4 linked regions of the Diceros bicornis minor genome follow. The protein of the gene in region 3 interacts with the protein of the main gene of each other region in a pairwise test. Links are inferred from orthologs where the notes say so. Each region holds a gene or a part of one and is shown on either strand. Other genes may lie near its edges.

Region 1 (7,504 bases), on a different chromosome or scaffold from region 3:
CGCTTGTCCCAGGGTGTTGATTCTTGCCCAGTGCCTCCAGTCAGATGCTGGGGAAGCCAGATCTTGGGCCACTGGTTCAGTGCTTCATCTGAGTCTGGAAGTGGTGTAAGGAGCCAGAGCCTCCATGGGTGTAGTCAATGTTGCTTTAGCACAAGAGATGTAGACTCTGCTACTGCAGCAGGGAGCAAGAGGACCAGAGAGCAAATGGAACTAAGGAAATAGTCAGGTATCCTAGAGAAGAATTAGAGCCTTGGTTCTCCAACCTGTAACACATTAGAATCATCTGAAGCATTCTAGAAGCTATACTGATAACCAAGTGTTCAAATTATTTACTTCTGCATTAAAAAATTACTCCAAAACTTAGTGGCTTAAAAACCACTTAAAATATATGTTATTAAATATATTAATAAATTATTACAAGTTAAGGGGCCGGCCCGATGGCGCAAGCGGTTAAGTGCGCGCGCTCCGCTGCAGCAGCCCGGGGTTCGCCAGTTTGGATCCCGGGCGCGCACCAACGCACTGCTTGGCAAGCCACGCTGTGGCGGCGTCCCATATAAAGTAGAGGAAGATGGGGACGGATGTTAGCCCAAGGCCAGTCTTCCTCGCCAAAAAAAAGAGGAGGATTGGCAGATGTTAGCACAGGGCTGATCTCCTCACACACAAAAAATTATTACAAGTTAATGTATAATTATATAATAATATTATGTTATGTATTATCATACTACATATTAATATATAAATAAAATATACAATTTATATTTAATGTATATTTTAAGTGGTTTCTAAGCAACTATATTTATTTCATATGTAATTTAAATATAATTATTCTACAGATTTTATAATTTCTGTCATGAGTTCTTCTGTAACCTATGAATTGTTTTTTAGAAGTATTTTAAAGTTTCCAAACTGAAAAGGCTTTTCTAGTTATTCTTTAATTATTCTCTAACTTAATTGCATTAAGTGATCAGAGAATGTTGATTGTTTGATGTTAATCCTTTGAAATATGTTGATGCTAGCTTTATGGCTTAGTACTATGGTTACATTTTATAATGTTCCATGTGTTCCTAAAGTAATGTATACTCTCCAATTGTGTTTTTTTAATATATATATATTAGCTATGTTATCATCCAATAGCTATGTATTATCTAATTGTTAATTGTGCTGTTCAAATCTTCTATACCCCTTCATATGTACACAAATGTATCAAAGACTTCCACAGGACTGTTCACAGCTGCTTTATTCACAGTAGCAAATGTGGCAGCCATATAGCTGAGCTGCTTGGATGTCCCCTAAAGACAGGATCTGCTCTGAGGAGTGCAGTCAATCGATACAGCAGTGTGCTGGAGCCTGCTGGTACGGACTTGAGAGAGTTGATTGTAAAATTTTCAGCCATTACTAATTTGTTAAACACAGCCATTATTAAAAATTAGTTTTGCTAAATTACAATTAAATAATGTTCAAAACAAAGATAATTTCTCAAAACTCTTTACCTCCTCTTCTGTTACCATATTTTACTTATATTTATATGCTCTTGAGCTTATTTGCACCTACTATATCTCTGCAGTGAAAAACTATATAATGGTGTGCTACTGGACGTCCTTCCCCAAGTTCATGTTCAGTGATGTCACATTGGTAGCTTGGAATTGGCCTTGGTGGGAGTATTGACACCATGTAAATCAGCAAATGCTATAAATTGGACTTTTAAACTTAAAGTGATTGACAGGGAAAATGTTCATAATGCAGGAAAAAAACTTAAAATTGTGTGGTGCCTGTAGCCACTACATTGTGAATAGCACAAAAAATTAAGGAAATCTTTCAATATTAGAAAAGTATTTATTTCAGTGAAGAAGTTGCTCACGATATTGAAAAACAAGTGAAATTCTGACATACATTTTGATTACTTCACTTTCATCTTATTAATATAAGCAAAAATATCAACCAATATCCATGCTGGAACTACATTGTTAATCAACTGCAACCACAGGCTGGCTTCAGATACAAGAGTTCAGCAAAAACTAATGAAAGTATTCTGGGAGAATCAATTGTTTATGAGGAAGTCACAGTAAAGAGTATATTTTGATATTTCTAAGTTGTATGCTACAATCCTTTATATCACTAAAATTTACAATAAGTGTGTCATCACACACACAAACACACACACACACTTTCCCCCAGAGAGTCTCTCAGTAACCATTTACCAGCATACCAGCACTTGAGGATTTTTCACAGTGTTCCATCTGAGAACATGTTCTTCCCAGGGAGCTCTAGCCAATGATTGAGATGGTAGGGCTGGTAGGGTCTGGCCATTTCTGCCCATCGCAGAACTCCTCTATGAGCAATCTTAGCACTGGAGCTCTCTTTTTAACTAGCTGAGACTTTCTCAGAGCTGCACTGCAGTTTCAACCTCCTCCTACACAACATTTTCCCTTCCCTCTCTCCTTTCTAAGGTGTCAGATCGTATGTTGGCCTGAAGACTTTCCTGCTCCTCTTCCTTTTTCTTTCACAGGAATTTTGCCCAGTAAATCTCTTGCACTTCTAATTCCTTCTTGGTGTCTGCTTCCTGAAGGACCCAAATTGACAGCCAAAAAATGGAAACAACCCAAATGACCATCAACAGGTGAATGGATAAATTTAAGATAGTGATAAAGACAACGTTAATAGTGCAGATTAAATATGAGTATGTCTTGTCTGTTACATTATGAATAGCACCAAAAAATGAGGAAAATTCTTCCAGTATTGGAAGATTATTATCTCTTTAAGCAAAGAATTCTATTCAGCAATTAACAAGAAACAGACTACTCATATATACAACAACATGGATGAATCTCAAAGAAAAATAACAGTATGCTGAGCAAAAAGAGTACATATGGTATGATTCCATTTATATGAAGTTCTAGAACAGTCAAGGGGATGAATGGGGAACAGACTGGGAAGGGGTACAAGGAGAATTTCTGAGATGATGGAAATGTTCTATATCTTAATAAGGGTATGATTTCATAAGTGTATGCATTTGTCAAAATACATCTATCTATACTTTTAAGATCTATTCATTTCAGTGTATATGTTCCATCTCAATTCAAAAGCGCAAAAACAATTCTTCCTATAATGATGTAAGATGTGTCATTTTCTTCTTGTGGATCTGTCCATTTCTGTTCTGTATACTTTGAGGCTATGTTATCAGATATCTGCAAATTTAGAATATTGCTGGTGAGTGGAAACTTTTCTGCTCTTCTACATACACACACATCGTGTCCTCGACACTCATTCCTTCTTTTCTATTCTATTCTTGCCTAATCTTCCATTTGCAGTGCTTCAGCATGTAGACCTCTATTGCTGTTTTGGGGTCAGGTTTGTACCTAATCCCAAGAGGGGCACATGCAGCCACAGAACCAGCTGCATGTGAAAGACCGGAAGTCCCTACTCTGGTCACTTGGGGTGTCCATACCTCATGGGCTTCCAGCTCTGGCTTCTGTTCAGAATCCAGCCAGCATCTGTTCCAGCGTGCGAAGCAAATCTCAGCAAAAACAAAGAGCAGCCTGAAGGAAGTGGGAGAGTAGGGGATTTTGCAGGTGCTCACACTCCAGACCCGCGAACAAGAAAGGCTTAGAAACAAGAAAGGCTCAGACCTCAGAGATGGGTTCCAGACGGGGTACGCATGCTGCATACCCTAACTTTATGGTGGCAATGGCTGGTTGTAGGGTTGTAGGTCCGGGGGCACAAGGAGGCTGAAGAATAGAGAGGGGGAGGTTGCAGCAGCCTCAGCCTCAGAAAGCAGGAGCTTAGGTAGCAGGTGGCTGAGACTGCACCTCATCTGCTCTTTTAAGGCTAGGCCTCTCCTACAGGCACGCGGCCTAGCGGGGAGGCGCCATTTGAAGCACCCAAATCTCGCGCGGGAAATGGTGGTAGGGTGAGGTGGAAATGGAGTGTGTCTGTGGTTACTGGTGAGCGCTTGCACCCTCCAACCCCACTACTATAAAGCTGGTGAACCCAAGCAGCAAACGCCCAGTTCATACAACTGTACTGTCACTCACTGGTGGGTGGGCCAGGCTCCACCGAACTCTGGCTTTTATTGGTCAGGGCAAGAAGAACACGAGTGGGATAACTAGCAGCCTCTTTCGGATTGGTCGATTTCTGCTAGCTCTCAAGTCAATCAGAGAAAAATGTACTCCTTCCCATTCTCTGGCTCCCGGGGGAACCATGTTAGGTAGCAGAATGCAAACCTTGCCGCTGTTCTGAGATCACCACACAATAGCATCCTCTGCTTTCTCCTGCCGCCGCCATCTCCTCCTAACATGTTATTTCATGCGCTCTTTTTTGCACAAAACGATCTGTTTCATGTGAGAAGTCTACGTTTAGGCGGTGAGGCGAGAAACTGGGGAAGAGGTGCTCTGTTCCGCCAGCCGACCCTCTAAACCAGCAAAGACTGAGTAATGACTCCTGTTATCCAGGAAGCGCCGGTCTTAGGTCTCCGGCAGCGGGAGAAGAGTTTGAGTGACTTTTGGCCCCTCGCGGCCCCTGTAGCGTCCCTAGTTACCGCGCCCCTCGCAACCGCCCTCCTCAAGCAAGGAGCCGCCGGGTCGCCTGAGGCCACGCCAGCTTCCCCGCCCCGGGCCAGCGCGGGCGCTCAGGCCTCGGCGGCGAGGTGATGGCCGCCTCCCATTCAGGGGCGAAGCCGGTGGCCTGCAGTCTCCAAACCCTGGGAAATCTCAACACCGGAGCGCGGGTCGCCCAGTATGAACGCGAAGACCCCTTAGAGGCCCTGGCGGCGGCGGCGGCGGCCTTGGAGGAGGAGGACGAGGAAGAGGAAGAAGACGAGGAGGCGGTGCGGCCGGCGCGGGCGCCGGTAATGCAGGGGCGGGATGTGGGCCAGGGCTGGGGGCCGGCTGAGGGCTGGTCCGCGTCCGCGCTGGGCTGAAGGACGGGCTGGGACACGCGGCGCCCTGTCCAGATTCTCCCTAGCCGGCAATCCTTGCCCACCACCTTCTTTCTGCCCCCGCGGAAAATACTCAAAACCGAGGCTTTGAAAAGTCTTTTAATTTTCACCAAAGAGATTGTTGAGAGAGCATTTACTTTATTTCTAGAGAGTGCAAAATACAGAACTTTACTCCTTATGCTCTAGCATCTGTTGGGAGTAGATATTTCCTTTTTAACTTAAGGAAAACTGATCTACCCCATAGTGGATAACTCATAAAAAAAATCAGGTGAATCAGCTGTGCTGTCAGCTGTGTTTTGTTGTCACCTAAAGTCTTGGTTATTAGTGCATCTTAACACAATACATGAGAGGCAGTGTTTAAAACCATCAGGAGTTCAGTGGGTAAATCAGACACAGATGTAGTTAAGCATCCAGAGAAGCAAATTACTGAGTTTCCGATGTTTCCTAACCAGCTCTTCAGGCTCGAGTGAGAGCCTTTTCACTAATCAATTTTCAGTGTCAAATGTGTTGTGAACACCTGTCTGCTAGGTAGAGGGCCGAGTCTGCCATCTGCTCTATTCACTTAAAAGATTGGAACCTTGAATTTTAACTAGCAATCTGCAGATATAAACCTCCTTACCCCCAGATAAAGATTCTTAATACTGTTTGTCCAAAGCTTCTCATACAAAAAAAAACATTATGGTCTAGGGCTAATAGAAATGACTGGATATTTTGGAATTCTAATCTCTTTACACTAAAACTGTTAATGAGAAAATCTGTAGCAACACCTTTTAATGTCAATATTTCAGCAACAGACATAAACTACTTGAGGTTATTTAGAGTAAGGCAGGTTGAGACCCTGAACCTGAACCAGGCTCAGAGTCCTAGGACCTTTTTCATTCATGATAAAGTTTCCATTCAACACAAGTTTTAGTAGCCAACAAAGGGAGCAAAGTCATGGAGGAAAAAGATTTGAATGGAGGAAAAGAATTTGGAGTCCTGGATTAGGATCCATTCTCTGCCATTTGCCAGATGATATTAAGATGTAACTTCCTTCAATCTCAGTTTCCCTAGGTGTAAGAGAACTATAATAATTGTCTCTCTTTCTTGTCTCACTGGGATGTTATGAGAACCAAATGAGAGAATGTGTGTCATATGTAAAGATCAGTTTGTATAAATTAGTAATAATAAGAACTGCCAGTGGGCCTGTGATTTGAACAACTTGCCCAAAGATTACATTCTCCTTTGGCTTACTGTGGTAGAGGAGTCAGTCATTTCTCTAGTTCCACGTATAGAGTGCCTTGCTAAACTGCAAATTTGTATTGGAAACTTATTACCTTAGGAGAGACTAGTTTATATAATGAGCTAATTTCAAAGGGACAGGATCTTACCCCCCAAAAACAAAGCTAAGTCTTGTGAGTTTGTCAGTGTTCTGAGACCACCACACTTGAAGGATCCAAAAGCAAACCTGGATAAGCTGCCACAGTAAGCCTGATAGCCAGAGGACGCTGGGGCTGGGGGAAGATGCACTGAAAGACAGGAAAGAGAGTGCAGGAGCCAAGCTTTGCCTTCTTCACAGTTTGCCTTGGGTCTCCACCTTGACTTTTAAAGGTTAATTTGTCTCAACTTTGTCATCTATAAAATGTAGTAAACTCAGATGCTGTAGCCACTACACAAGACTGATTAGAGAACCAACTGTCCCAGGCCCCTTTCAGTCCTTTGGTTTCCCAAAGACAACTCCCTCCCCACTCCACACACACAGACACACACACACACACACACACACACACACACACCGTTGCAGGACTCTCTGCCCGTATTGGGCCCTGAGGCATGTTCCTTGAATCTAGCCTCAGTTGGACATATCAAGGACATATCATAGGCCTTGTTGTGTGACTGATGATGACTTGGGCAAAGCAACATTCTATAATTCGCTGTTAAAATTTCACTGACTCTCCCAACAGGGAGGCCTTCTCTTTTTCAACAAATTTTCCGCATTTAGTAAGTCACTGACTATTAATAGTCACTGACTATTCAGTGGTGAATGAAGCAGACGTAGTCCACATCATCACAGAGCTTCCAGTCTGCTGGGGAACTTAGACAATAAAAAATCAACAGTCAAATGATTATAAGATGGGAAATGTCGGGAAAGAAATGAACAGGCTACTATGATTAAAAAAGGAAGTTGGAGGGAACTTACTTAAATGAGTTAACATTTAAGTCCATGCCTGATAGATGGGAAAGAGCAGCCATTTGAAGAGTGGGGGGTGGGGAGGCATTCCGGGCAGAGGGAACAGCGTATGCAGAAGCCCTAAGATAGGGACAGAAAGAGCTTTGTGTGATTAAGTATCTGAAAGAAAGCCAGCAGGGCTGGAAAAGAGAGAAGGAAAGAGGGGAGGAGATGAGGTTGGAAAGGTAAGCAGGGCCTGATCATTCAGGGCCTTATAGACCAAGGTAAAGGGTTAAGTGTTTATTCTAGGTGCAGTGGGAGGTCCTCAAAGGCTTTTAAGAGATATGACATGTTCCTATTTACATTTTTAAAAGATGACTCATGGCTTTGTGGAGAATGATTGGAGGGTCTGACAAAGCAGA
Region 2 (7,132 bases), on a different chromosome or scaffold from region 3:
GCACCCTGGCAGGTGGTGGGCCCGGCCCCGCCACCAACAAACCTCTGACTCGGGGGCTGGGGCTGGAGTCGTCTGTGGGTTCCACGTCGTCGTACAGCTCGTAGGTCTCATCCGGGGCCCTGCGGAGATACCCCAGGTGAGGGCCTCCTCCGGCCACACCACCTGCGCCCGCGCCCCTCGCTCCCCACACTCACTTCAGCGCGTCGGCAGACAGACGGGCCTGGAAGTGGATCCCAGTGGAAGAGTGGGTCCTCCGCAGAGCTGTGGGGAGATGGGAGCAGCAGGGAGGCGGGCAGGCACCGCCAGGGAGCCCCTGCCCCTTCCTTGCCGCCTGTGCCGCCCTGACCCACCTGTGGCCGCCGCCGAGGGTCTCCGAAAGCTCTGGATGTCCCTAGGGCCCGGGGGCAGCGGGGGCTTGGCTGGAGGGGGTCCCAGGATGCTGACGGAGGGCAGAGGCCTCCGCCGGGGTTTGAGCCCCAGCCTGGACCCTCTGCTAGGAGTGAGAGCCCCCGACCTCTGCTGCCTGGCTCCAAACCCTGGGCTGAGCGGGAACCTGGGGCTGCAGCCCGCCACGGCAGTGGGCAGTGAGCTCTCGGAGACGGAGCCAGGGAGCGGGGGCTTCCTCGGGAGACCCCCGAGGAACTCAGCCTGCGTGTGCTTCTTGAGCAAAGTGCTGGGCTCAGGCTGTGAGAACTTGCGGGGGGGCCCCCGGACCTCGAGCTGCAGAAGATTCCTGGGGAGCAGGCTGACCTCGGGCTCCGAGGAGGTCCTGGGGAGGCCGCCCAGCTCGGGCTGCGGGGGCTTCTTGGAGAGCGCTTTGAAATCGGACTGCTGCGGCCTCTTGGGAACCACACTGACCTCAGGCTCCGAGGACGTCCTGGTGAGGTCACCAAACTCAGGCTGCGGGGGCTTCTTGGGGAGGCCACTGACCTGAGGCTGTGGGGGCTTTCTGAGGTTCGCATTGAACTCGGGCTGCGGAGGCTTCTTGGGAAAGGTACTGAACTCAGGGTGCGAGGGCTTTGGGGTGGCCTCATTGGGCTCAGGCTGCCGGAACTTCCTGGGGAATGCACTGGATTTGGGTTCTGTGGGGGGCCTGGCAGGGTGGCTGAGCTCAGGCTGTGGAAGCTTCTGGCCAAGTGCGCCGTGCTCAGTCTGCGAGGTCTTCTGAGGGGCCTCACCAGCCTCCGGCTGCGGGGGCTTCCTGGGGAACAGAGTGGCCTCAAGCTGTGGGAACTTTTTGGAGAGTTCGCCGAACTCGGGTTTGCAGGACTTCTTGGGCAGATCAGCAAACTCAGGCTGCGGGGGCTTCTTGGGGAGACCAGGGAACTCAGCCTGCGGGGGCTTCTTGGGGAGATCAGCGAACTCAGCCTGCGGGGGCTTCTTGGGGAGATCAGCGAACTCAGCCTGCGGGGGCTTCCTGGGCACTGCACTGAACTCGGGCTGCAGGGGCTTCTTGGGGTGCTCGCTTAGCTCAGGCGGCGGAAACTTCTTTAGGAGTTTGTTGAACTCAGGCTTTGGGGGTTTTTGGGGGTGTTCACTGGTCCCAGGCTGAGAGGCCTGGAACTTTGCTTGAAGGGTCCGAAAGTCCTGATGGCTCCCCTAGGGGACATGGAGCCAGTCAGGCAGGGACTCAAACACACAGGGGTTGTGGAGAGACAGCCCTGGGGACACACCCCCTTCCCTAGGCTCCTCCTTTTCCCCACCCTCTGCCCTTGGCCCTCTTCTCTGTTGGCTGAGGACTCCCACATTCCATGGGCTCCTGTAAACTACACCCTCCTGACCTCTCTGCTTGGGCTCCGAATGCGCACCCAACCTCCCCCCTATCAGCGCACATTCCCCCCATCAGGACCCGATTTCACCCCCATCAGGACCCGACCCTCTCCCCATCAGGACCCGACCCCACCCCCATCAGGACCCGACCCTCTCCCCATCAGGACCCGACCTCACTCCCATCAGGATCTAATCTTCCCACATCAGGACCTGACCTCACTCCCATCAGGACCCAATCTTCCCCCCATCAGGACCCGACCCTCTTCCCCATCAGGACTGGACCTCCTCCCCATCAGGTCCCAACCTCAACCCTATCAGGACACAGTCTTCCCCCCATCAGGACGCGACCTCACTCCCATCAGGACCTAATCTTCCCACATCAGGACCCGACCTCAACCCCATCAGGACCCAATCTTCCCCCCATCAGGACCCAGTCTTCCCACATCAGGACCCAATCTTCCCCCCATCAGGACCTGACCTCACTCCCATCAGGACCCAATCTTCCCACATCAGGACCCAGTCTTTCCCCCATCAGGACCCAGTCTTCCCACATCAGGACCCAATCTTCCCCCCATCAGGACCTGACCTCACTCCCATCAGGACACAATCTTCCCCCCATCAGGACGCGACCTCACTCCCATCAGGACCTAATCTTCCCACATCAGGACCCGACCTCAACCCCATCAGGACCCAATCTTCCCCCCATCAGGACCCGACCCTCTTCCCCCCATCAGGACCTGACCTCAACCCCATCAGGACCCAATCTTCCCCCCATCAGGACCCGACCCTCTTCCCCCCATCAGGACCTGACCTCACCTCCATCAGGACCTGACCTCAACCCCATCAGGACCCAATCTTCCCCCCATCAGGACCCAGTCTTCCCTCCATCAGGACCTGACCTCCCCGCCATCAGGATCTGACCTCACCCCTTCAGGGCCTGAGCTCCTGTCCGCCCTACCTCCCTCGGCCCCACCTGCTGCTCCTTAGCCTCCCCCTCAGTGGGTGGTGCCTTCCTTCTGAGCATCCTCGAGATCCCCTCGTTCTTGCACCCCCTAGGTCCCCAGTCCTTTCTGTTCTCATTTCAAAATACCTCCGGAATCCAACCACTTCTCACCGCCTGCACCACTGTCACCACTGGAGGAACTTGCCAGAAGCACTGTCCCCCGTTGCGTGGATTATTGTAACAGGCTCCTCCCTGGCCTCCCGCCCCCCACCCCATTCCTGGTCAGTCCCCCCACAGCAGCCGGGGGAAGCCTGTTAACCATGAGTTGGCTTGTGCCTCTCTGCTCAAAATCCGGCAGCCTTCCTTCCTCTTCCTAGGAAGGCCCTGAACCGTCCATCCAGCAACCTCTACCTGGTCCCCAACTCCTCCTCCCTCCTCCTCCTCCCCCCCCCCGCCCCCCCCCGCCCCTAGCCTGGGACACTTCCCCCCACCGCGTGGTTCTCTTCCTCCTCCTCCTGCTCCACTTCTCTGCTCCAGTATCTCCTTATTAGAGAGGCCTTCCTCCCAGACCACGCTAATTTAAAAAAAACAATTCCCCCTTCCCAATACTCTCCATCCTCCCCAACCTGCACGATTTTTCTCTTAGCACCTGCCGCCCTGTATCATACTATTTATTTCACTCATATGGCTTTTTAAATGAGCAACTCGGCTCATTCACTGCTGTCCTCCCAGTGCCTGGCACCCAGTCGGGGCTCCGTCAACATTTGCTGAAATGAAGAATATACACAGGGCACAGAGACAGGCGTCGACTCAGCCATGTCCAGCCTGCCCCTCACGGACTCATGTAGACGGATGCAGAGAGACACTGAGAGACCTGGGGGCAGATGTGGGTGTGGGGTCTCTCTCTGAGGCCCAGACACCCAGGCTGGCGGTCAGGGGCGCTCACGGTCGACGGCACCCCTGGGGCCCAGCATGCAGGCCCCCATGCAGCCTCTGTGGCTCATGCAGTCTGCCCTGGGTGCCATCGCGACCGGCCGCCAGCGGTCACAGACAGGCAGAGGCACATGTATGCCAGGCCTGCTCTGCCTGACAAATTACCCCCGAGGTGGCCCCGCTGCAGGCCCCCAATCTCCCCCGGGGTCAAGGAGATTGGGGGAGGGGAGGGGCAGAACCATGTGGACTGTGCCCCTGTCTGTGCCTCGCTTTCCCCATCCCGAGAACAAGGAAGGTGGCGACTCCTTTCTGGGGCCTGAAATGCCTCTGTTAAAGCCCCACTATGGTCGGGTGGTCGGGTGGTCGGGGCAAGGGCTCCCAGGTGACCCACAGGGCCAGAGAATCAGGGTCAGCAGGTCACCTTGGATGACTGCCGGGGTCGGGGGGGCAGCAGGTGCGTAACCCAATTTCTCATTCACAGGAAGCCCCTGTACTGCTCATCATAGCTGCCTGCTACCCACTTGCTCTTCACACGGACATGGGGGAGGGGAGTAGTCCCGGCAGTCCCCCTGTCCCCCTTACGGTCGCAGGCTTGGCCTGGACCATAGCCCCCCGGAGCACGAGGTGTCCCAGAGACGTGTCTTGGATGCTTCCCACCTCTGGGCCTTTGTGACGGTCATTCTCGTTTTCCAGACGGCTTCCTGCCCCTCTCTGCTGCTCCCCTCTTGGAACTCCCCAGTTTCCACCCACAGCACCCCTTGCCTCCGGCCCGTGGGGGCCCTCCCAGGGCTTGGGGACTCACTCACCATGGCTGCAGGCGGGTGGTGGGCCGTGGGGCGAGTGGGACCCGAGCCGGGGCTGCTGCCTTCAGGAAGTGACTGTGGCTTTTGCTCCACGGGCCCCACGAGGTGGGGGCTGCTGGCGGGTGGGGAGGGCAGAGGAGGAAGGAAAGGAGGCGGAGACAGCCCCAGCCTGTCCCTAGATCCTGTTGGGCACTTCTTAAGCCCCTGCCTTGCCTGCTACTGTCTCCACGCCTGGTGCATCGGACGGCAGCACATTCCCAACCCAGTCACTAGTTTCTCGACTCTGCTGTCCCCCTCACTCTCCGCTGACCTCTGGGCTCCACCGGGGACTCTGTGTCAGGCCCTCAGGACCTCCTGCCAACGGAGGCAGGCCAAGGCCCGCTCCAGCCAGGGCCTCCACGGGAGAGGTGCTCAGTGGGGGAGGGGCACAGTCAGCTCCAGGCGGGGAGACCCAGGAGTCGGGTGAGTGTGGCGGGTGAGGCCCTTCTGGCTCGTTGCCTCATCCGCCTTCGTCATTTCAACACTTCCCCGCCGTCCGATTCCCCAGTTCTGAACAGGACTTCCTTTTTATGTCACACGGACTGTGGATGGCTGTGGCTGGGCAGAGGGCTAATTGGGATGGCAGATTTGGCGTTGGGTGGGTGGGTAGTGTCCACGGCCTTGCCCCTTGGGGAGGGAGGGAATCTAGGGCACCCCAGGTTCCCAGAGGACAGAGGATGGGAGGGAAATGGAGATGGCTGGGAGGCCAGCGAGGAGGGGGTGAAGCTAATGGGCAGGACCATCGCTGTGCGATAGAGTGTGAGGCCCGGCCAGAGAAGGGCTCAGGCCCCAGGAGGTCAGTGACCTCGGGCACACAGATGAAGAAGGAACCCCTCCCCCGCCCTGGAGACAGCAGAGGCCTGATTCTCAGTTTGGCTCTGCATCAGATCACTTGAGGAGTTTACACAAAGACAGAAGCTCCTGGAGATTCTGACCAAATTGGTCTGCAGTGTGGCCTGAGCCTGGGGATTTCCTAAACACTCGAGGGGGGATTCTAACTCACAGCTAAGCTGAGAAACCTCGAGACCCCACTAAGTGCAGGTCCATGGAGGGGCCTCAGATTCCAGACCATCCCAGGTGAGGCTCATGCTGCTGGTCCAAGGATCACACCTGGAGTAGCAAGGATGTAGATGTTTCCAGAAGGATCCGGAAGGATCCAGTTGAGACAGAGAAGGAGGCTCATTTGTCTTGAAGAGCTCTTCATTTACCTGCCCTGCCACGAAGGCCACAGGCAGCACAGTTGGAAACAACCTTGCCTGCTTGTTCCTATGTCTGCTTTAAGAGCACAGCTTGAGGATTCTGGAGCCGCTGTGCCTGTGCCTCTCCATTCCTGCACCGACACACACGCATCCTGGGCCACATTCCCAGATGTGGGTCCCACTCCAAACAGGAGTCCCGGAGGCCAAGGATGACGAGGTCTGAGTCCTCGGCACCAGTCACAGGCTGACTGACCCTCCCAGTGTGCGGTGAGGGGAAGAATGAATGAAGAACCAGCGATTATTGGCCGAGAGCACACAGTAGGCGCTCAGTCAAGGTAAGCTAAAGGGCTGAATGACCGCTAGTGACTCCCCAGGCACTCTGTGGACACCCCCCGCCAGGAACTCGCAGATTGGAGGGTCCCACCGGGCAGAGCCCCTGTGGGCCGGGCACGCAGGCTCCCGGCTCGGCCCCCAGGGGGCGCGTCCCCCCCCACTCCCCGTTGCGTGTGTGGCGTCTTCGTGGCGGCCGTGAACGTGGACAGGCGGCTCCACTTGGAGCTAGGGAACCGGAAGCCCAGAGAAGGGAGCGCGGGCCAGGGTGCGCCTTCGGGTCTTGCGGGGGTTCGTTGGGGCGAGCGTCTGAAACTGCGGGCCAGGGAGGGGTGTTGGGGTTCCGAGCGCGCGGAGGGAGCCCAAGCTGGTGTGCCCCATCGCTGCGCCAGAGCCAAGGGCGGCGACAGCGGCAGCCAGGGGGGCCGGGCTCAGACCCACGTGGTCCGAGCGCGCGGGGGGGAGGACGGAGCACGTGGGCGGCCGAGCCCGCCCGCGGTCGCGGAGGTGTCGGGAGCGCGGGAGGGGGGTGCTCGGGCCCGGTCGGTAGCAGGGTCCGGGGACGCGCGCCCAGGAGCCTTCACCTCCCCTCTCCCAGTCAGGGGGGAGGGTAACCGAGCCGGCCCCCACAGGTGATGGAGCGGGCGGTGGCCCCCCTCATTCCTTCTCCCTTCAGACTGACACTCCTGGGCGCCCTCTGCTGGGCGGAGCCGGGCCCCGAGAGCACTCGGCTTGCAGGCATCCTGGAGTTAGGGTGAGGGGGGACCCTCTGTGGAGTCAGAGCTGGGCCAGAGGGAGGGCAAGGACAGCGGGAGCCCAGAAGGGGCACTGGGAGCAGTAAGACCTCCCAACTGAGCGGACAAAAGTTGGCAGGGGTGAGGGTCAGAGGTGGTTTTCCGAGTGGACAGGGTGCCCAGGCCAGGTGGTGACCCAGGCTCCCTAGGCCTCGGGGCCGTTTCAGCTTGCCCCAGAGGGCAGCAGGGGGCTGTGGGCTTCTTGTATCCATGGGAGGGGCTGCTGCATCTACGTGGGTGATGGGGTGGGGAGAGGTACCTGGACCAAGATGTTGGCTCTGGGTCTTTCTGGAAAGGTCTGACAGACTGGGAAGTGGCCTC
Region 3 (6,863 bases):
GGAGGAAGTGACTTGCTCAAGGCCACACAGGTCAGTGCCCAGGCCGGCTCCGCCCTGGATCCTTGTGTTTTTGGGACCCCATGAGAGCCTGTGGGGGCGGGGTCCCACTGTGAGGTCAGCTCCCAGCACCATGAAGCCCATAGCCAAAAATCAGAGGAAGGACCCAGAGTCATGTGCGGTCAGAACTGGGGCCTCCTCGGGCAGCCCTGGGTGCTCCCTGTGTCCCCTTGGGGCACTGTGGTGGGAGGGCGTCCAGCTGCCAGGCCAGGCTGCTCACTCAGTGGTCACTTGGTGGCCATCGAGCTCAGGCTGTATTTCGGGATCCAGGAACCACAGCCCAAAACCAGCCCTTTGAGCGATGGCCCTTCCTGGTTTATGCCACCCCAGGACGGAGCCAGCCTGCCACCCAGTGTTGACATCTGCTCTGGGCTGGGCATGGCTAGGCCCTGGGGGCACTGATAGGAGCAGGACGGCCCAAGCCCTGTCTGAGCTGTGCAGCCTCAGCCCGTTCCTGAGCCCCTCTGGCCTTGGTTTTCTCATCTATAAAGTGGGGAGACTTTTAGAATCACCACAGACGGTGGCTGTGGGAGCTCCATGTGACATGGGGGGGGCCGTCCCATGTGACACGAGACCTGCCTGGAAGCTGGGCCCCTCAGAGCCTGCTAGCTCCATGGGAAAGTCCAGTGCCAGCCTCTTGCCGCCCTTCGGTGTCCCTCCAACGTTCTTACCCCATGAGCATTTACTGAGCTCTGACTGTGTGCCAGGGCGTGGGGACAGTTGGATCCTGTCTGTGCTGGTTGCCAGGGGCCTGGTAGGCTCCCTCAGCTTCCACTGCTCTGTTTCTCCATCTGTGATGGGGTGACCACAGGGTGGCTGCTGGGGAGCTGGCACTAGGGGCTCCCAGGGTGGCGGGCGACTGCCTTGCGGGGTGGGCAGAGGGTGGGCGAGGGGAGGGTGTGAGTCTGGCCTGACCAGCAGGATGGCGGGCAGGTTGGGGCAGTCAGTCTCGGGTAATGTGGGGTCTGGCTTGACCTGTGGGGAGACCGGGCAGGGAGCCAGGTGGAGAGTGTCAGTCATCAGATTCCCAGGCAGGGAGGCCGTCGAGGGGCCCTGGCCCGGGGGCTACTTGGGCCGCTGTGTGTTGATGCCAGCCCTGGTGGGCCCAGGAGGCAGGAGCCCTTGGAGGGTGGGGGGCGTTGCCTGGGTGGTCACTAAATGCTGGTCAGATGAGTGAGGGGATGAGGCAGTGATGGGCCTGAGCTGGGGGGTGGGCACTGGAAGACAGGGCAGTAAGACCCAGGCAAAGATGGCAGGTGCTGAGGGGCTCTGTGGGCCTGACTCTGGTGTCCAGGATGTCCCTTTGTCCTCCCACAGGCATCTGTTGGTCTCTCAGGGTGTGGGGCATGGAGAAGGGGTCCCGGGGAGGCCGAGTGGACAAGCTTGCAGACCTCAGAGGGGCAGGGGGGCTGATTAGGGGTGACGAGGCCCCTCACAGGAAGCTGAGCGCCTGGGCTCTCAGCAGGGCCCACTGGCAGCCTCCACCGTTTTGCTGGCTGTGACGTTCGGGGGCAGGGGTGCACGGCACCTCTCTGGGCCTAGCACCCTGGAAGCCTTAGCTAGGGCTCAGGTGAGAGGGTCAGAAGTTCTGGGGTTGCTGGGAGACTAGAGGAGGGGCCGGGAGGACGCATGTCACTGGGAAAGGGTAGTAGGAGCAGGCCCCTCCTATGGGAAGCAAGGCCATGTTGACCCTGGGGCTGCCCTTAGGGTTAGCACCAGGGTCAGGGTTGGGGTTGAGGTCAGTGTTAAGGTTATCATAGGGTTAGGGTTAGGGTTGAAGTGGGTTAGGGTTGGCTCTGGGTCAGGGTTAGGGGCCAGGGATGGTGAAGCACAGAGCTCACATTCGTTGTTAGGATCTGTCCTTTTTGAAGAGGGTGCGTCCTGTTGGCCCTTTTGGTTTACAGAGACACACCACTGAGCCCCTTCACTGGGGCTGAACCAGCACCCGCATAGTTCACATGGTGTTTGTAACCCTCAAAGCAATGGGGAAGGAAGCATGTTCACCCCATTTTATGGAGAAGCAAACCGAGTCCCGGAAAGCTACAATAAGGCAGAAGTGGAGCTGGGATTTGAACCCTGGCTCTGTCACAGCATGTTACCCCGGTCTGGAGGCAGTGAGGGTGCCCAGGGCCTGTGAGATGCAGATTAAAGGTCACGGGACCCTCTGGGCTCCTCCAGGTGGGTGTGGCTATTTTCCTGTGGTTTCTGTGCAAGGATAGGATCATGTCTTCCAATATCCATGAGGCTTGAATGACTGATCTGTCTCTGATTCTAACTCCTGGACCTCCCTCCAGGAGCCACCTCCTAAAGCAAAACATTTCTTATCATGAACTGGGTGGGACGTTTGTCCAGCACTGGCAGGACCAGCTTGGGGACAGGCCCCAGGCAGCCAGCATGCCATCAGGGTGGAGAAAACACGGATGGACAGGAGGGGCCGGACCAAGAGCATGGGGGAGACTGTGTCCCCAGGCCCCTGTGCTCATCACTAACGGGAGCCCTGCGGTGCCACCGGACAGGCGGGCTGAGCAGTGTTTTGCCTCCACTTGTTGCGACAATGCTCAGACGCCAGTGAAGGGTGTCCCTAAGCACGGGTTGGGGGCCTTGGTGAAAGTTTCACTTTTGCCTATGTGAGGCAGGCTGCCTGCAAAGGTTTTGTTTCTCTTTTTAACTTGTAATGGAATACACAAACACAAAAGCGCACAGGTTACGAGTGCAACAATGATGAATTCTCACAAATCAAACATCGTGCAACAGCGCCCAGAAGAAGAGCCTCCAGGGGCCCCCAGAGCCAGCCTGGGGCAGCCCCACTCGGCCTGACCGCCGCCTCCCCTTCAGCATGAGCGCAGTCGTCCGGCGCGCCCTGTCTCTGCTGGAGGATCCACGGAGGACACTACATCTCTCGGGGGCTCGGGTGTTCGCTCCCCGCCACGTGCAGACCCACGGATTGCAGCCGGCTCCCCCACGTGCAGCTCCGGACCCCCTCCCACGCCTCCTGCGCAGTCGCACCCGCCCCGCGTGCAGCCCCCGCCCAGGTCGGTCCGAGACCCCTGCCCGGGCTCAAGTCAACCTCGGGGCTACGAGATGGGCGTGCTGCGGGAGCCCAGCTGTGCGAGGGAGGGCCGTCGCGCGGGGGAGCCTCGGCCGCCTCCCGGTCGCCCCGCCGCCCCGCGACGGTCTGGAGCCCTTCTCACTCGGCTCACCCTCGCCCGGAGTCGGGTGGACCGGGGACCACCGCGCGCCCCTCGGCGCCTGCGCGCGGGGCCGGGCGGCCCGGGACCCCGGCGCCGGGGCTAGCGTTTCCGGCCGGCGGGACCCGAGCGCTGCACCGAGCGCGCCTGGACTGCGGCCGACGGACTCGGGTCGCCATGGCAACGCGGCGGGACCCGAGGCCGCTCGGAGTGGGCGTTCCGAGTGAGGCGCGGGCGCCGCGGGACGAGGCCGGCTCGCGGGGGGCTCGGGCGGGGCCTCGGGCCGAAGCGCGGGGGTCGTCGCGCGGACGGCGGACGTGCCTGGGTTCGCGGCTTGTCGGTCGCTCGCCAGAGAGCAACCCGGGGCTTCCCGGCCCTGCCGGGCAGGGCGCTGCGTGCGGACGCCCAGCCGGGGCCGGGCCTGCGGAGCTCTGCGCCCGGCGTGGACCCCGCGGCCCGCACCGGGACGGGGGTGGCTGGAGAGTCCGCCGAGGCCGTGCTTGCTTCCGAGTGGGCCTTCCGGGACCCGGCGAGGTGTGCCGTGCGGTGAGGAGATTGCGGGGTGGGGGTGGGGGCGGGGGCGGGGGCGGAGCGGCCGAGCTCCACAGCCCGTGAGGACGGACTCAGACGCGGCAGTCTGGCCGAGGGTGGGGTTCTTACGTTGTTTGGCACTGACAAGAGTTGCCACAGGGGTGCGAAGATTTCCCCTGTACGTTTGCCGAGATTCCCCAGAACGTTCCGCTCGCCTTGCCACCGTTTCTTCAGCAAACGAGGACACTCGCGCTGACGCAACCGCGGTCTGCTCCCTGGGTTTCTTCAGGCTCGGCGGCGGGGGCCTTTGGCGCCTGGAGTCGCTCACGGGGTCCCGCGAGCACCGTTCGTGTTTCCCTGCTCCTCCGCAGGCTGCAGCAGTTCCTCAGTCCCGCTGTGACTGTCACGCGTCCGTGTTCCATAGAAGGCTCTCAGTGGGGGTTTATCTGGTGTTTGCTCACGAGTGCTTTCAGTTATGCGTTTTGGGTGAGAAAACCTCGACAGTGAAATTGTGTTCTCAGTGCGTCTACTCGGGAGGCACGTGATGCCGCTTGTCTTAGTTGGACTTTGGTCGCTGGTTTGGGCGGTGTCTCCGTCATGGAGTGACCGTTCTCCCCTTGTGAGTGATAACCGTCTTGTGGGGAGATCCTTGGAGGCTACGGAAATGCTCGCTCATTTCAGCAGCGGCAGTGCGAGTTTCCTGAAACGGTAATGAATGTCGTAGTTGCCAAATGGCGATTTTCCCATGTCGGTGGTTCCTTCGGCATTGATGAGTTGGACTTCTGCTGTGCGAGAGAACCTCCCCTTCTGCCCGTTTTTCTGTTTATTCAGTGAGTTATTTGTGTCGGTACAGATATTTTGTTTTTATTCCATAGGTTATAACCCATTGCTGTCGCTCTCTTGTTGCCCTGATTGTCCGGATTTGGGCATTAGGAGCCCCTTAAGGGGGTTTGGCTTCTGTGTCCTCAGCCTTTTTGAGCACTTCCTTACTTTCTGGCATCACAAGATGTTCCAGGCTCACCTTGTGGTTTCCTCGACCTAGCCCAGAATCGGTCATTTCTCTAAGGAGTGCTGGTTCTTTTAGTGTAGACGGTGGTGTTGAGAAACCCAGATGTGGGTGCAGGTGTGCTCACTGCTACTGGAGTGGGGTTGCTTTTTAGCTTTCTCAGTGGGTGGAGCTAGGAAACATGCATTTGTGTACACCACATACATCGGGATCTGTTTCTATGTCTCCATATCTGTGTATTTACTAAAAACTGTGAGTTTACCTCAACACCTCCAGTTCTAGTCTGTTACCAGCGGGTTCCTTCCACAGTCCTTTTCCTCTCTGAATCTGGCTCCCATTTTCCTCAGTAGATTGACTTACTTGCTCAGTGCTAGACTATGCATACAGTAGTCTCAGAATTGCCAATGCATAAGCAAACCTACCAAGTAGACTATAGTATTTACGCACGGTTGTTTTGCTTTTGTCCCTAGAACATATAGTCAAAGTGCTGTTTGACAGAGTTGCTTTAGTGTGTTTATGTTATTCCTTTGTGATAAGTTAGGTTCACTTGTTTCTGTTTGTGTTTGGTTTTGAGTCTTTACTGATTTTCGGTTTCCCTATGTGAAAGAATCATTTATGTGGTTGTGAAAGTCAGCAGAGTCTAAGCTCTTAACTACAGCACTATTCAGCTTCTCTTCCATTTTATTTCTCATTTACTCATTATCTTTGTGGCTGGGGGGGGGTGGGGCGGGGCCGGCGGCAAGGGAATTTGGCAGATGTAAACTCAAATAAAAAAGCACTGCATGCCCTGCCCTGGAGTGGTGCCCCTCACCTCCAGCAAGTGCCAGTGATGGGATTAAGATCTTTCTGTTGCTCAACTCTCTTATTTCAGGTTTTACAAATGGTTGAGTACCACTTGGCAGTCAGTGAAGGACAGAAAGACGCCTTGGGGTCACAGGCCTGTAATTTTCACTCCCTAGCCCCCCTTAAAGATGATGCGTGCTGAGTTTGGCTCTCACGGCTCACGTTGGGGTTCCAGAGGGTGGCAGCGTCGAGTCCGGTGTCTTGAGTGCAGAGCAGATGAGCCACCTCTGGATTTTCCTTCAAGTCCCAGGAAAATATTTTGTAAATTCAGCTCATTAAATGTATTTACAGAGCAACAAGAAGACAATGTTCCTGACTGAAGTAGATTTGGGTTCTTGTGCATTACGAGTGGTGGGGCTGGTCCTCATAGTGGTGAGTGGAAAGCCAAACCCATCTGGGGCTGCATCCTTTCGGGGAAGGAGATGAAAAGAAACCCCCTCTTCCGATGTGTCTCTGACCAGCCAGTGTGCCTAATGGGCTTGTTTGTAAGCATCTCATGACTTTTAGCCTGAGCGGATGGTCCTTTTGTATAAATTTTGGAGTCTGCAACTGCTTTTGTTTTATGGAGGTCATGTAATGCTTTTCCAATTAAGTACTAATGAAATGTTTTTTCTAAAACAGGTTGCTCCAAATTTGTGGTCAGCCAAACAGAAGTGTGATTAATTCCACTGTCACATCTGCGGATCAGGTGACCTGCAGGTTCACCTCTGACTTGGATGTGTTTTGCTTTGATGATCTGGTCATCTTGGCGAGGGGTAAGATGAGGGTGGGCAGAACCATCCTCACCTGCTGCTTCCCTGTTTATCCAGGAGGTAGTCAGTGCAGCCAGCTTGCTGGAGAGCTGGGGCAAGGGCAGGGCAAGGCCAGCCCCTCTGCAGAGCCCACTGTGTTTGGGAAGTTCTTTCTCTTCCACGTAGCTCCTTTTCATACTTCGTTGGGACTCATCGTTTGTCTGGAACTCTTTCCTCTTAACTACGATGCTAGCTGTTAAGGGGTCCTACTTGCAGCTCTGGCAGTCTTTGGCCCTGTCGTAATTTGTGAAGCGATATCTCAGAGACTGTCACTAGCTGGAAGCGCTGACTCCAGACCCTCCTTCTCTCTGTGCCCTGCGTGTGGAGTGTCACACCCTGGGCATTGTTCCCTTTGCTCTGACGAGGCTGGGCCCCGTGCTCAGGGTGAACCACTACAGACCCCGACCGTGGAGGTCGCCACGTTGCCTTGTTATTCCACGCCAGGGC
Region 4 (7,659 bases), about 30 Mb from region 3:
ACATAAAAAATATTAGTTTATTCTTCAAGAAAAAGTACCACCAGTGATGAGTTACTGAAAGTGAAAAACCAGATGCCAGAGAATCAACTTATTGGAAAAAAATTATCACAGAATTTCATAGAAGTATGCAAAGTCCAAGGCCATTTAGATTCTCGGCAGGACATTTTTATGATACAACATCTTAAAAGCATGAGTTATTCCTTTTGGAAGCAGGTCGATGGTGTGCCAGAACTGTCTGATTATTTTCTCCTCTTTTCTTGGCTACTTTCCAAGGTGAACCAAATGTTGTCTGATGCTGTGCACCTCCCATGACCCCTAAAATGTTTAATGTAGAGAAAAAGCTGATTTTTCAGTCTTAAAATAGCCCTTAGAGTTAAGTTTGTCATTGAAGAAGACACAAGACGTTACTCACAAAAAAGAACCCCCTCCACCCTCCCACCCTCAAGCCACCCCCATTCCTCTAGTCCGCTGCAGGGCCAAGTCCATTCTCTCCCACCCATTCGGGGTGCAGTGCACCCATTCGGGGTGCATTGGCTGACAGAGTGAGAGCAGCTATTTCAGACCACATATCCCATTTGGTCTCATTCAGTCCTAAGCAAATAAGCTTCTCTGATTTGCCACGAGAGCCGTCTGACTCTCCCGTCTCTTGGCTTTCTTGCTCCTCTGTCTCACCTTCCAGCACAAGGCACTGGAGGCTAACAAAAAAAGTCCCGATGAAAGAAGGACCAGACCTAAGATGGAGATGATGGAGCCGTGGGAATTGAAGCTGTAAGCCACAGCAGTGACCACGATCCCGGCGATGAGGACCACCACGGCGAAGGGGATGATGCAGCGGTAACAGGAGAGCTCGGCACCCCCCGTAGCTGCCGTCAGCTGAATCTCACTGACCAGGGGAACCAAGGTGACTATGACTTCGCTGTTGGGGCTCTTCTCCATTGTCACTGGCTTGGGAGACTTTGGGGCTCCCAGGATCTCCTTTATGGGCTCTTCAGTCATTTTTACAGCAGCGTCTCCTGGCTGAGTTCACAGACTAGACCTGGGGAGTCTTACCACGGTGGAAACTGTGGAGGAGAAGACAGGAGATGTCAGCTAAATGCATCAGAGTGAGCGGGGGAAACACCACTGTGATCTTTTCTAGGAGGCATGGATGCATGTGAAAATCAACTGTAATTTTTTTTCTAATTGTATTTCTAATTCTCTTTGTATTGGGCAAAAAGCAAGATAAAGCAGATAACCATAAAGAAAGCGACAATATAAAAAGCAGGAAGCACTTTACAGTGTTTAATATACCCTGGTGGTCTACAAATGTTTTACAAGCCTTTCTGTTTTGTCTATTGCTTCTTTTTGCTCTAAACACACAGAAAAGCCTCAATCCTAATCCAAAGACAGCCTCATTCAAGAGGAGAATACATTATAAACAATACTTTGAACAGTTTGTTCCACAACTCATAGCAACTTAGACTCTGCCAATGTTTCCGGGCATAACATGCATTCTTTCCAAACTATCACCCATTCACTGCCCACCAAATCAATGTCAGACCAGCAGCCATCGTACGAATGATGGTCTTCCACATCAACTTGACAGTCAACAAGGCTTTATTGTGTTAACTATTGAACACAGCCTAAAATGTGTCCTGGGACCACGCTGGGGATGCAGTTCAGCAAAAATTCAGTGACACTAAGGCTAGGATTTGTGACCTAAAATGTGGCAATATCCTCCAATCTGTTTGAAAAAGGAAAAATAAAAAAAATTCAACAATTTTGTAGGATATAATTTTGTGCTTCCTTACATTAAAGATAAGATCAACTATTAGAGTAATTAGTTTTTAATTCATAAATTTTCCTTTAAACTCAACAAAGAATTTTGACATTCCATGCACCATGACATGCTTAAAAAAATAAGCATGCTAGATTTTCAGTTAAGTTTCACACGTTCATTTTTTCTCACGCACGTGTGTACAAAACTTGCCGCCAGTCACCTAAGTATTTTGAAACTGAACATTTCAGGACAAAATCTGACACTGTCAATCAAAAGCATCTGGTTGAAATACTGTCTATGAGAAATCAGTGAATACTCTTGCCTGCTGCTCAGACATGTTAAGTCATTCTCTTTTGTCTTCAAGAAGCAATCTAGCTGCTAAAGAGTTGAGTAGTTAAGTTATTAAAAGCATTCCAAGGAAGATACTTGAGACCATTTCAATGAGATTAATACTTTGAACATATTAAGCATCCATCGAAAACAAATTGAACCCCAGATCAAACTTCACAGGTTCTTCCCTGTCCTGGGAGGTCAAAATATCCCTCCCTGGGCAATAAAGCTAAATACTAGAGCTGCCTATTTGCATGTAATTTTGTCACCAAATTAAGCACTGTTGTCCAATGATACCCTAAATACTGGCTAGGCTAGTAAAAGGACATTTGAGACTATGTTTGAAAGAAAAAAGTCTTCACTCCAAAACCGAGATTTAAGCTAACCTGAAAATGAAGCTCTGTCCCCAAACTACTTACGTGTACCTCCCAGAGAAGCAATCCATTACCAGGGAAACCACTCGACTTGGGAGGGAAGAAACAGCAACGCTTGAGCTTCTTCGGTCAGCTTCTGGGAAGAGAGCCTGTAACAGCACGTCTGTTGATAAAATGACAGGACAGGGCTCTCCCCCGGGGAAAAGAAAAGATGTAAAAATACTGTACTCTATAGCTGACTTTAGATCCTGGAGCTCTTTCTTCCACACTACCTCTGTTCCTAAATGACGCCTGTCTTTCCCTCTCTCTCTTTTTATTTCCTCCCCCTCCGGATTGCCCCTCCCTGCCACTTTTTTTTCCTCTCCGTTCTTTTCCTTGCCAGCAGATTCCGACTTTTGGCTTCCCCCAACTCTGCTCAGTGACATGATAAGTCAGAATCATTCTAGAGTCCCCAGAGACAGGAGCCAGTTTTTACTTTTATTTCTCTTGCAGCATGTACTCAGTAGACTGCTTCACATTACTCATTTTTTCCCCAGCCAACCTCCAGATCTTCCTCCCGCCCATCAGGCATTTTCATAAGAAAATCCCCGAGTCAGCGCTGCAGACCCAGCTGAGGGGACAGAGCCGGAGGGACAGACGCTTTAGGGCGGCGGGAACAGCTGTGAAGTCATCAGGCAGCTGAATTCAGCCTGTCAGCCAGCAAAAATCCATGTTCCTAGGTTTCTCCGGGATTCTTTATTTATACGTGTGTGCTGGCCATCCGAAGCTTAAAATCCTCCTTGTTTGACGTTAATTCATTTAGGAACCAAGATGCGAGACACAAATGTTGTGGTTAAGGGGGAAAACCTGTCATCTTGATTTAAACACGATTACTTACTACTTGGGAGGTAACTTTGGCAATGCTGAAATTATCATCATCATCATCATCGCTGTCATTTACAGAGCACCTACTATGGGCATGGCACATGCAATGTGCATGCATTGACATTAATTCTCACTAGCTTATAAATGAGTTTATAAATAGTTTACAAATGAGGCTCGGAGAGGTTTAGTAATCTGACAAAGGTCACACAGAAAGAGAGAAACTCTTGTTTTGAACCCCAGTCTTTATGGGCACATAAATCATGTGGGGAGCTTGTTAAATGCTAATTCTGATTCAGTAGGTCTGTAACAAGCTCCTGGCTGATGCCAATCTACCGCTCCTTGGCCCACTGTAATGAGCAAGGTATTTTAAACATTCAAAGATATATGGCTTGACACGTCTCGCCCTCAAACAATAAAATTAAAGGTCTATTTCCCACTCCCACCCTGCAAATGGCTTTATAGTTTTCTACTTTATTATAGACAAGCTATTTGAAATTTTAAAGCCCCAGATTGTCTTTTTGAGGCCAAAAGTGAGATAATACTGGGTAACTATTATATGCCTGTCCCTATACTTCTGTAGCTAAAAGTTACCCGTCCTCTATTTTTTAATCTATACAAGTTTTAATAACTTCTTTTTAATCAACACAGCCAATCTACAAATCTAAATTAAATCTCGGAGGAAACTGGTTTTCCTTCTCTCTCTCTCTGGTCGTTAGATTTCTCTAAGCGCTAACAGGGGGCCTGGGTGTCTTCTGGCATCTCACCTCTGTTCCAGGACAGCCCACTCTTTCCAGCCTCGTCTAGGAACAACACCTTGACGATTTTGTCATAAAAGCAGAAGGAACAGATGTTCTTTTCTCTAGAATGGAAGCCAGAGAGAGGGCTTCTTCATTTTAAAAAATAAAGTTGAGGTCCCTGAGGCCTGGCTGAGTTGGGGGAACCCAGCCTGCTGAGGTCGGTGAGTACCTGGAAGGCCTCGGTGCCACCATCCTCACGCTTTTTAAAATGTGGAGCCTAAAGGGACAGAGTCATCAATCAGGAGCGCTGCCCCTTGGCGTTAAAGATAAGGGATCCTTAGAACCAGGGCATTTCAGCCCTGGCCAACCCTGCCCTGGGAAGATGGTGATATCGAGGGCTACTGGCTACATATACTGGAGGCTCTTGAGCTCCTTCAAAGAGCAACAGTCCTGCCATCTGTGAACTGGGGCCTTTGCCAGGCAATTCCTCTCTAGTTCCTAGCGCAGGCTGCTTTCTCTCCCAAATAGTCCAATAACCCCACTGAAACTCTGAATGTCACCTGATCCTGTTGAAGATCATGTTGCCCCATTACCAAAGTCAGAAGTGCAGGAATCGAACTTGTTCCAAAGAGAAGCCAGGGGCAACTTTTCTCCATGACGAGAGCCCCTGGCTGAGTCTATAATGAGGGACAGTGAGAGTATCTGTGCGCTGGGAGCGTGCGTGGGCAGGTCTGTCATTATTTTTCCTAATACCAAAGCCTTCTTCCGGCTTCAGGTGTTGCATTCACCCTAATTCTTCTTCAGAGGGTCTGCATCTGCCTACATACACAGATGCACATCTCTAGACTCTAAGTAGACCACTGATGATTTGTATTGATAAACACAAAGAAGTAGAAAGCTTGGGGACAAAGCGGAAATTGTATCTGAAGAATAGAGACCTATCATTGTACCCGCCCACACATGCAATTTTAACTGACTTTTACCTCTTCAGATTGAAATTCAAAGAGAATTCCTAGTAATCCATGCCTGATGTCTTTGAATGTTTTTTCCTTCTTCCACTCTCTGCCTATAAGATATTAAACACCCCTAGGAATTCCTTAAGGGACACCTGCCCCCAAATGCAAATCTCATCCACAATGCGATCAGCCTTCTTTCTGCAAGCCTTCTTTCTGAAGGGAAGGGAAATCTTTCTGGTTTGTTTTAAAACGCATGGCTCCACGAGATTCCTTTAAGTTTGGAGAACTTTTCAGAAAGCTTCCAATGCACGAATTAATCTATACCCCGTTTCCCCATCCCTCCGTAGGAATTCAGCATTTCTCTCCCAGATCTTTCAAAAAGCAAGGCAAAGATTCTTACCTTTCCCAGCCAGAATCGGACTGAGACAGCTGCCAGCCCCGGCTAACAGCAACCCAGAAAGGGGGATGCAAATCACTGCACTAGGGACCGTAAACAAAGTTCGCCACAAGGCTTAAACACAATTTAGGGACCGGAGAAAAATTGGTGAGACGAAATCCCTTAAATGCTGCTGTATTTTGTCCTACGTTTCTATCAGAATGTAATCCACATTTTTAAAAAGGGAACCAAGTTTGAAAAGAATGTTCTCCTTTGTTTTTCTCTCCTTACATACTCATTCAGGCTTTCATTTTCAAGATTTTCCCTGTCCAAAGCCCCATCCTGATACTAGCCCTCTGTAATACTGTGAACCTGCAGAAAAGATTTTTAATCCTTGTTCTATGCTTCTAAGCGGGTGTGGAGTTTGGAAAGTGTGTGGGGGTAGGGAGTGGCACGGTAAACTAATCTCTTTCGCTGTTAACAGGCAAGTAATAAAAGGAGTAAAGGAAGAAAAGGATTGATGGTGAAAATGGCATTTGGTGCTTGTGTGGACCCTCTCCTTAAAGTCAGAGGAGTTATCTTATCAGCGCTCTTCATCAGAGGATGGCAAGACACCATGGAAATGATGGTGGACTGGAAAACCACATCTCTGATGAACTGAGGCAACCCTTCACCAAAGGCATCATAAACAGCCGAGCTAGGAGCACTTGTTGTTCCAGAGAGAATTCCCCCAAATTTGAAAAATCTCATTTTACTTAGAAGCAAGACCAGAAACAAAGTTACTTGGGTGAGGGATACAGAAGTACAGGAAGGCGGGGGAGACGGTAAATGCTATGATAAAGAGAAGATTTTGCCTATTTCCCTCCAATAGAAGCCAAGGGTTCAGGCTCTAGGTTGGAAAGGGGGACATTTTGATTTTGCCATTGAGCATATGCTGTTGAAGACCTGGAAATTTCTCCTTTGGGAACACACAAATTTTGCATTTGTGAAGAGCACCCCCATGTGCATTCAATTACTCACCCGTATTTACTTTCAGCCTGCTTTTGCTTGGTGTGGTTGAGTTGGCTAATTTCCAGCAGCCCTGAAGATGCCAGGTCCTCCCGGCCCTCAGTGCAACCACCACATGCCTTTGATCTCGGTCATCATCCTGTCTGATTGGATTCAGTGAGATTCCGGAAGCAGGCCAATTTTTCTCCTCTCCAGCGCTTCTTTTAAGGGTGTATCTTCATTTATGTTCTGAAATCATGGACATTTTGGAAAGTGATCTGAGCTTGTGTGTTCATTTTGGATAACAGGTCATGCTATTATTGCTTCCCCTAGGCACTTGTCTTTGAGGTCTAAGATCTGCTGGTACCCAGAGGAACGACGGATTATACATTAAACATAAATATATATTTTACTATTTGCTGGTCAATTTCCAGGTACCACAACTCATAAAATATATATTTTACTATTTGCTGGTCAATTTCCAGGTACCAGAACTCATGTGGATATAGAAAGGAAAACATACATCTTTTAGCTACACATCCTGGTCAACATTCTCTTACTCAGTTTGTTCTGAATAACTATGAAAGATCACATAAACATAAAAAAACAGAGCCACTGAAATCAAATGACACAGTGGGACCTTAGGGAGGGCTGAGTAAATCATCTCTCGCTTCAACGAGAACTATTGTCACTCCAACCTCGGATGAGAAGAATTGATTTTCTTGTTTTAAAATCCAAATATATGCTGAAACTGCTATGATCCTGATACATCCCCATGTTCCTTGCATAATTCTTTATATTTGTGTATATCATTCTTTGAAGACCTAAGATGAGAGAGCTCAAAGATAAGGAGTTATAGCAAATTGGGCTGACATTTTCCCAAAACAGGTGTGTAGCACTCAGGTCAGCCTCCTCTAATGGGCTGTGGGTCCTGTGTTCAGGGGCTTGTAGGAAGCCCACCATACTTGCCTTTTTCCAGGGAAGGAAAAATAGCGACCTCACGCTTTGCCACTCTTCTTGATACCTGATCATATGGGGGCCTACTATGCCCTTTTTACACACACAATCTCTGTCTGGCCTCTGGTGACAAATGTCAGTTGTCCTGTCCATAAAATGATGTGCACATGGGGTGACTCCAATCCACTCTTAGTCAGCACATAATGTCTAGGCTTCAGCATCAATCTGGTGCTGGGGATTTGAAACCACGCTGCTATATGTAAAATTTTCTAAAAACCAACAATCTGTGACATCCTGTAAGGGTCAGTTAGCTTTTCTT

Evidence for each region.
Region 1: the proteins of CCDC57 (region 3) and FAM161A interact in binary tests that used the Homo sapiens proteins (3 or more experiments, as listed by UniProt). The two-hybrid records come from large-scale screens. The link is inferred for Diceros bicornis minor from reciprocal best matches to the Homo sapiens genes CCDC57 and FAM161A.
Region 2: the proteins of CCDC57 (region 3) and PRAM1 interact in binary tests that used the Homo sapiens proteins (3 or more experiments, as listed by UniProt). The two-hybrid records come from large-scale screens. The link is inferred for Diceros bicornis minor from reciprocal best matches to the Homo sapiens genes CCDC57 and PRAM1.
Region 4: the proteins of CCDC57 (region 3) and TMEM100 interact in binary tests that used the Homo sapiens proteins (3 or more experiments, as listed by UniProt). The two-hybrid records come from large-scale screens. The link is inferred for Diceros bicornis minor from reciprocal best matches to the Homo sapiens genes CCDC57 and TMEM100.

Annotation. Positions count from the first base shown.
Region 1 is NC_080751.1:25,472,649-25,480,152, forward strand, and holds the start of FAM161A (protein FAM161A), read left to right. Parts: upstream 1-4,499; 5' UTR 4,500-4,645; coding exon 4,646-4,843; intron 4,844-7,504. UniProt on the Homo sapiens protein: Involved in ciliogenesis.
Region 2 is NW_026691615.1:234,850-241,981, reverse strand, and holds the start of PRAM1 (PML-RARA-regulated adapter molecule 1), read right to left. Parts: upstream 3,005-7,132; 5' UTR 2,990-3,004; coding exon 2,861-2,989; intron 1,600-2,860; coding exon 351-1,599; intron 262-350; coding exon 195-261; intron 120-194; coding exon 43-119; intron 1-42. UniProt on the Homo sapiens protein: May be involved in myeloid differentiation. May be involved in integrin signaling in neutrophils. Binds to PtdIns(4)P.
Region 3 is NC_080757.1:61,588,994-61,595,856, reverse strand, and holds the start of CCDC57 (coiled-coil domain-containing protein 57), read left to right. Parts: upstream 1-3,862; 5' UTR 3,863-4,320; coding exon 4,321-4,484; intron 4,485-6,246; coding exon 6,247-6,380; intron 6,381-6,863. UniProt on the Homo sapiens protein: Pleiotropic regulator of centriole duplication, mitosis, and ciliogenesis. Critical interface between centrosome and microtubule-mediated cellular processes. Centriole duplication protein required for recruitment of CEP63, CEP152, and PLK4 to the centrosome.
Region 4 is NC_080757.1:31,650,025-31,657,683, reverse strand, and holds TMEM100 (transmembrane protein 100), read right to left. Parts: upstream 2,667-7,659; 5' UTR 2,515-2,666; intron 1,062-2,514; 5' UTR 997-1,061; coding exon 592-996; 3' UTR 520-591; downstream 1-519. UniProt on the Homo sapiens protein: Plays a role during embryonic arterial endothelium differentiation and vascular morphogenesis through the ACVRL1 receptor-dependent signaling pathway upon stimulation by bone morphogenetic proteins, such as GDF2/BMP9 and BMP10.